Arabidopsis thaliana: one gene and its partner. The protein of the gene in region 1 interacts with the protein of each later gene in a pairwise test. Each region holds a gene or a part of one and is shown on either strand. Other genes may lie near its edges. The genes, in order: AT3G10120 and PUP8.

Evidence for each region.
Region 2: the proteins of AT3G10120 (region 1) and PUP8 interact in a protein complementation assay, tested with the Arabidopsis thaliana proteins (one large-scale study listed by BioGRID).

The regions. Positions count from the first base shown.
Region 1 is NC_003074.8:3,127,862-3,131,505, reverse strand, and holds AT3G10120 (uncharacterized protein), read right to left. Parts: upstream 1,435-3,644; 5' UTR 1,352-1,434; coding exon 830-1,351; 3' UTR 615-829; downstream 1-614. Other genes in the region: AT3G10130 (SOUL heme-binding family protein), read left to right, coding at 120-229, 310-384.
Region 2 is NC_003075.7:10,067,257-10,071,719, forward strand, and holds PUP8 (purine permease 8), read left to right. Parts: upstream 1-2,201; 5' UTR 2,202-2,461; coding exon 2,462-2,492; intron 2,493-2,564; coding exon 2,565-3,718; 3' UTR 3,719-3,859; downstream 3,860-4,463. Other genes in the region: AT4G18180 (Pectin lyase-like superfamily protein), read left to right, coding at 1-61; PUP6 (purine permease 6), read left to right, coding at 683-734, 826-1,937.

The DNA of each region.
Region 1 (3,644 bases):
ACATGTTCATCATTGTTCCGAGAAGTTTTATCTTTTCATTAAAATGTTCAGTGCTCGTGAAGCATCTAACATAATCAGATTGTTATTGTTACCGATGAACAAAATCAACTTTGTTTCAGGCTATGTTACCGATGAAGAGATTGAGAGACGGGAGAGAGAACTAAGGAGAGCTCTTCAAAATGACAAGAAGTTCCGAGTGAGAGATGGAGTATCATTTGAAGTTGCACAGGTTAATCAACATTCATAAATGGCTAAATGGATTGTCTTAGACTCTCTACTGATACTAATTAATGAATTCATTTCCTGCAGTATAATCCACCATTCACTCTCCCGTTTATGCGCCGCAACGAGGTCTCTCTCGAAGTTGAAAACAAAGAAGATTAGCCCCATCACAAGTCATACATACATGTATATATTATATGTATACACAGTTAAATACTTGTGCTAAAGACAAAACGCGTTTACTTGAATAGTTGAAAATGAGTAGTAATTACTGGTCCTGGAAGCCATTTTCTTCACCCACCATTATGATGCATCTTTACTTCGCTTATAGCCCACTAGAGATGCCTACTATAGGCTTTGAAATTAACCCAAAGAAGCACTCAGGACCTTTTAACTTTTGGAAAATTCCGTCCTAACAAGTTTACATTTTTGGGGTTTAGTACAAATTTTTAAACTTTCTACAAAAAGGGTTTCATGTACTACCAACCCTTGGAACAGTATTTCTGGGAATTACAAGTTTTCTTCTTTTCTCTTGAACAAGCTTGTGTTATCTATCTATGTATATAAGTATATGTCACATATATATCTAGATATAACATCCCATGGGCTAATCAGTTTCAGGAATGCTATCTAACAAAGGTCTCCAGCCTTCTTTATGACACTCATCATCATCATCACACAGATGTTGCTTAGCAAGAGTCCTATAAACCATTTCATGAACAGAACCTCCTTGAAGCAGCTTCTCCAGCTCTTGCTTACTCACAACCATCTTCACTCTCACAACACCATTAGTCTTCTCCTTGGTGTTGTCACAACAATCTGTTAATCTATCTTCTTCTTGTTCTTCTTTTTCCACCTCTGGATTTGCAAACCTGACTTTCTTCATCGTCTTCTTCATGTGCTTGATTGAGTTAGTCTCCTGGGGCAATAGATAGTAGAGACGGCCACAGAGAAGCTTGGCTTGGGGATGAAGATGACAATTGTTGGTGAGAGAGTCAAAGAGAGAGTAGTGAGGAGAGAATTGGGTGAGGATGTGATGAACCTTCATAGGTCCTCTGTATTCAACTACTTTCCCATCATTTCTCATTATCTTTATCACTTTCTTCTCCATTACTAAACAGTTCCCCATACTTTTTGTTTGTTTGTTTGTTTTTTTCTAACTTTAGTTTGTGCTTTCTTCTGTATATGTGTTTAGAGATTTTTTTGTTTCTTGAGTTTTGGAGATTTGTGGTTGCATATTTATAGAACTTAAGGTTATGTGAATGCCCCTGCGTTTCGGGAATATTACGAGAAATGCCATTCTATCAAATGCTCCCCTAAATGATCTTTATCTCATTTTTTTTCATTAAAAGTGTTTATATGTCGTGGTGGGGTGTGGTCGGGTGGTGCTCTCCTAATTATGTTTTTAAAAAAATTGGATCTCCTAAACTAATTTCGATTTTTTCACATTAAAAAAAAACGAATTTCGATATTTTCACATAAAGATCTCGGAATAGTTGTGTAGACTTGTAGTGGTAGTGGTATAAAGGTGGTAGATGTGATTAGTGTGATCAGAATATATCAAGTTAAAAGATTTGATAGTAAGTTAAAATGGTAGGAAAAGTTATCTAATTACAAATAAAATTGTTTGAAATAGTTAAAATTTAGTTTGGCTGAATTATGTGTCTGAATATCCCCAAAGAATGGAAGTGCATGTCGTGCATCACCGTTGCATCCAATGTATGTTTATGACTTATGAGTTATGTCTTTTTTAAAAAAGAATTTCTACCTATATTCTTGTAGGAGTATATGATTATGTAGGTGGTACAAGATATTCAAATTGATTAGATTAAAACTAAGTGTATCACCAAACTCTTCAACAATACATTGTTTAACGACTCCCGATGTTCTTGTTGGGAGGATATATCTTGGTCTATTGAAGATTTGAGCTACAGTAGTGTCATTTTAAAATTAGTTGAATGAATGATTCATTTCAAATCGTTTTAAATAATAAGGATGGAGGTATGCACTTTCTTTAGCCTTAAAATTGAATATCCAAGTTGTTTCACTAATGATTCATTTCAAGTCGGTTACATTTATAAGAATGCAGGTCACATAATATCTCTTCGTTTGTTAAAAGAATCAAAAATTAAGATTAATTTTACGAACACTCATTTGTCGCATCGATAGAGTTAAAATCCAAAATACGTTATGTTTATAAAAAGATTGATTTAAGCATTTTATCTTCTTCTTCTTTTTTTTTGGACAAGATTCAAGCAATTATATCTATCATTTTAACTAACAAGCATATAGTTAAAATTGAATTAATATTTTATTGGATTTGTTAGACGAATTAACATTTTGTGTGTAATTGCATTACACCAACCATCTTTATACTTTAGTAGACATCTAACCACACTAGTTTCAACTGTTACAAACCATTCACGATCTAAAAATAGTATTAAGTTTACGAAAAAAATCTATATATTGACCAAAAAGAAAAGGATTGTAGCGGAGGCTTGCCTACATCATAAGGTGGAGCCACTAGGAGGACCACAAAAGGAGTCCAAATGACTTTTGATAAGTGGATGTCACCTCCAATTCGAACCACAACTTGATTTCTATAATCATTCTTACATTGAATATTTCCCCTTTCTCTTTAATCGCTAACATGCGCCCGCAAGTCTCACTTTCCTATACCATTGTTTTGTTAGTTGGAACTCCACAAAACCCAATTTCATTGTACTTCTTTAATTCACTCGTTTGATACTTTTCACTATACGACATGTTATCATTATGTTTTGTTAAAATGATTAGTAATAACGCATTACCTTATAGTCTTATAGATAAATTCACTGGCCTAGAGATTTGCATTACAATACCCTCATTTGTTTGCATTTACTTAAGTTTCCTAATTTTTGTGGTTTTGAATTGTTGCTCAAAGCTTATGAAGCAGAAACTGAATTTACATATGCCACTTCAAATTATGCTTAGGTGTCGGTTTATCTTCGTTTGTTTTAGTCTCTCGTTTCTAGATAACTCTAATGTCGGATATCATCAACAATTCAACATGCATGGAGTTGATTCTAACACCATTTGAAACGAATCTAGCTTATAATAAGTCAAACCAAGCGCACAAGATCGACAAGTAATTAAGCTTATCCAAAATTTAGTTTTCATAGCGTGGGTATCAATCCTACTAAATTCCAAGAGAGAAAACAAACAAACTTATCTCATATGGACCGTTTTATATCTTATTTTTGCACAGAGAAATATGGACCGTTGAGGCATATACATAGTCTAATCTATAACAAGAAAACCGAACACTCTATACTTATCTCGCTACTTGCCCATTAAGGCTATATAGCTTCACCAAACTTTCTCTATCCATCACTACCTCACATATACACATTTATACATATAAAACCAATTTGCCCTCTTGA
Region 2 (4,463 bases), on another chromosome or scaffold:
TTCTTGTAGAAACGTTAGAGCTAATTACATTGGGACTCAAATCCCACCTCCATGTCACTAATCATCATCATCATCATTACTATCGTCAATTCATCATTTTGAAGTTTATCTAGTACTTAAACTTTTGTGCTTTCTTTTTGGACACGTTATCTTCATATGGTCATATTAAGTTTGCTACTTTTGTTGTCTATAGATAAAGTGCTACTACGCTAAGGAATATTTTTGGCTAAATAATAAAAGAAATATGACAAGAAAAAACTGGTTGGTAATAAAAATTTAAATTTGGTTCGTGTTTAACGGTTGATAATACTGGTTGGTAAGTTTGATACTTTTGTCTATAGATAACTTGCTAGTACCCTAAGGATTTGTTTTGGCTAAATATAAAATATGGCAAGAAAATTCTGGTTGGTAATAAAATTTGGTTCGTTTAAAGATAGGATCCTACAAAAATGGAGGAGATGATTCATTCCAAGAGTGCCATTTAACAATTCACGGGAAATGGTTAGTAGGACAAATTATAACGATATATGTAGTACTTATAATTTTAAAAACTGAAATCTTAATGTAAACTAATACTAACTTTATTTATTAAAGAATAATATATGCATACGCATTTGCCTGTTATATAAGTAAGCAACACCATCTTTATTTGTTCCCTGACATATTTCTCCTTCAGGTTTCTATGATGGAACTAGAATCAGAAACTCAAGAACTCCATCTTCACGTAAATGGCGGTAAGTATTGTAACAGAAATTCCGGCGTAGAGATTCTTGTGTTCTTCTTCTTTTACTTATGTTCTTGTTCTGTTTCATGTGTTGATGGTAGAACCTGAAGGGAAATTTTCAACAGAAGAGAGAAGTCACAAGTACTCTTGGAGGTTAAGAGTGTCTCTCTATGTCACTCTCCTCTTAGCTGGAGAGACAATAGCCACTCTCTTAGGTAGACTTTACTACGAAAAAGGCGGTAAAAGCACATGGCTCGAAACCTTGGTTCAGCTTGTAGGGTTTCCTTTAACCCTTCCTTGCTATTATTACTTAAAGCCTGAGCCGTCCAAGACTAAAACCATTACCAAAAAAACTACTTCTTCCTTCTTGACACTATCTTTAGTGTATATTGGACTTGGCTTGCTTGTTGCTGGACATTGTATTTTGTACTCATTTGGGCTACTTTACCTTCCTGTCTCAACTTTCTCTTTGATCTCTGCGTCGCAATTGGCTTTTAACGCCGTCTTCTCTTACTTCCTAAACTCACAAAAAATCACACCATTTATACTCAATTCACTTGTTCTCTTAACCATATCTTCTACACTTCTTGTTATCCAACATGAACCAGAATCTCCCTCTTCTACTTCAAAGTCCGCAGCCAAGTCCAAGTATGTGATTGGATACATCTGCGCGGTCGGTAGCTCAGCTGGTTATTCTCTGGTGCTTTCTTTAACAGATTACGCGTTCGAAAAGATTCTAAAGAAATACACATTCAAGGCTATTTTAGACATGGCCACATATCCGTCTATGGTAGCTACTTGTGTAGTTGTGGTAGGACTTTTTGGAAGTGGTGGGTGGAAAAAGCTGAGTACAGAAATGGAAGAGTTTCAACTAGGGAAAAGCTCATACATTTTGATAAACATCGGTTCAACGATATCATGGCAAGCTTGTTTGATTGGAAGTGTTGGTTTGATTATCGAAGTTTCATCGCTTTTTTCCAATGTCATAAGCACTCTTTGTTTACCAGTTGTGCCTGTTCTTGCTGTTGTCTTCTTCCGTGATGAGATGAGTGGAATCAAGTTGGTTGCAATGTTTTTGGCCATCTGGGGATTTGTTTCTTATGGTTATCAGCATTATGTCAATGATAGAAAGCCAGAAGAAGACCAAGAGCTTCCTCAGTCTAAAGAAGAAGAAGAACAAAAACAAGTAGATACCATTCATGTCCAAGCTTAGGCAAAGATCCAAGAAAACCAAAAGCTTTTGTAATTTGAACCAGTTTAATCTAAAATAAAAATGAGTTATATATATTGTAGGCACTACAAATAAAATTGGTAAGTGTCTCAAGGTCTCACAGTCTTCATGTATCTTTGTTGACTTCTGAATCCAAGTCAAGTGTACTTATGGCCTTCCCGTCTTGTTGTATCGTTGTTGACTTCCAAATCCACAAAATAGATTACTAACATAACAAAAACAAGTAATAATTTTTTTTTTTCAAGTGGACGGACACTTGAGCCAATAAGATTAGAATAAGATACAACAATATCAAGCGTCTATATATCTGTTTTCACCAAACTCAGCCTACTTTAACAACGTTGTGTATAAGAAGTTTTCTTAAAACCGCCAATTAAAAGGTTTCAATAATTCAAAGTCAACGGTAAACATCTTTACAGAAATATGATGCACTTGTTCCCACCAACCTTCATATATATAAAAGCTTTACCAAAACTCTGTTTGTGGGAAGTCCTCTTAGAGTGGTCATGGAAATAACTCAAGTAATCTATGTCAATGGTAAGCAAGATGCATCTCGTAGTGTAGATTACTTGATTCTTTTCGCTAACCTGTTGTTTTTGATGTTTTCAGATCATAACAACATAGAAGCAAACCTAACAGGTCAGGAGGAAATGAATACCACCATGGAAATCGAATCTTCGTCCGTACCTCAATCGAAGAACTATAAGAAATGGCTTCGTATTTCCATTTACGTGTTCTTTGTCCTTGCTTGCCAAGCACTTTCTACAATTTTGGGCAGAGTTTACTATGAAAATGGTGGGAAGAGTACATGGATGGGAACACTTGTCCAACTAATCGGCTTCCCTGTTCTGTTTCTCTTCCGCTTCTTTTCCCAAACCAAAAATCCCAAACCAACAGAAGCAGATTTCAGAAAGTTCTCTTCCTTCACCATTCTTGGATCAGTTTACATCGTTACTGGACTATTAGTGTCTGCTAACTCTTATATGTCCTCTGTTGGTTTACTATACTTACCAGTTTCTACTTTCTCCCTCATCTTGGCCTCACAATTGGCCTTCACTGCCTTCTTCTCATATTTTCTAAACTCGCAGAAGTTCACACCTTTCATTGTGAATTCTCTGTTTCTCCTTACTATTTCCTCTGCCCTCCTCGTGGTCAACACTGATTCGGAAAACACAGCAAAAGTGTCTAGAGTAAAATATGTGATAGGGATAATATGTACCATTGGTGCTTCTGCTGGGATTGGATTGCTGCTATCCCTGGTACAACTGATCCTCAGGAAGGTTTTAAAGAAGCAAACATTCTCAACGGTCACTGACTTGGTCGCTTACCAATCTCTAGTTGCAAGCTGTGTGGTTCTCATAGGACTTTTCGCAAGCGGGGAGTGGAAAACTTTAACAAGTGAGATGGAAAACTACAAACTGGGGAAAGTGCCATACGTTATGACTTTGGCCTCGATAGCTATTTCCTGGCAAGTCTACACCATTGGCGTCGTGGGACTGATCTTTGAGTCATCTTCTGTGTTCTCCAATTCCATAACTGCTGTGGGATTGCCTATAGTTCCAGTTGTAGCAGTGATTGTTTTCCATGATAAAATGAACGCGTCAAAGATCTTCTCCATCATTTTAGCTATCTGGGGATTCATTTCATTTGTCTATCAGCACTACCTCGACGAAAAGAAGTTGAAGACTAGCCACACAAGTCCTGTAGGAGATCCTCATCTACTACCTGCTGAGGAAGGTCACACAAACATACATAGTGTATGATCAAAACATATTTCCAGTGTAAAGCCAATGTATCTTTGTACAGTTTGAGCATAGATATAAAAACGTGTATCTCTAGTCAATCATAAGTAACTGATAAGTTTTGTACATAAGATACCAATAGTTCGGATCTTTTTTACTTCTATATACCGGAGATACCCATAACTTAAAGATGCAAATGCAATACTCTGCTTTGTCATTTTGCAATGCATTTGAATCACCAAAAAACAAGAGCAAACATCGATAGCAGAGAGGCAAATAGGCTAAAGCATCCTTGGAAAACCAGAGCTTTGAACAAAAAAAAAGAAACAAGTGAACAAAAATAATACCCACTTACCTGGAAGCCACTGACATAACAAATAACCAATGTAGTGACTTGAACAGTGCCTTGTAAAAAGACTCCTTAAAATACCAAAAACGTATACTCCAGGAGCTTGGATTCTTGTATCTTTGTTGACTTCTGATTAAACGTCAGTAGACACTGAGAAAATAAAAAAAATTCTCGTAGAGCCGCCATTCAAAAGTTTCAAGAATTCCACAAGTCAAGTGTAAGCAAATAAGAAAAGTCACCGGTCAACATGAGACTACTAAATAATGATACTGCTACTGTCATCTATCGCCTGCCCCATCCATATAATACGATTTACTAAAAGCCTGCCATGTTTGATAATGCAACTTGTGTAGGGTATTTAGATGTTTTTTTGTAATACCATCAATGTGTGTTTAAAGAAAGGCCTCTTGTGTATCT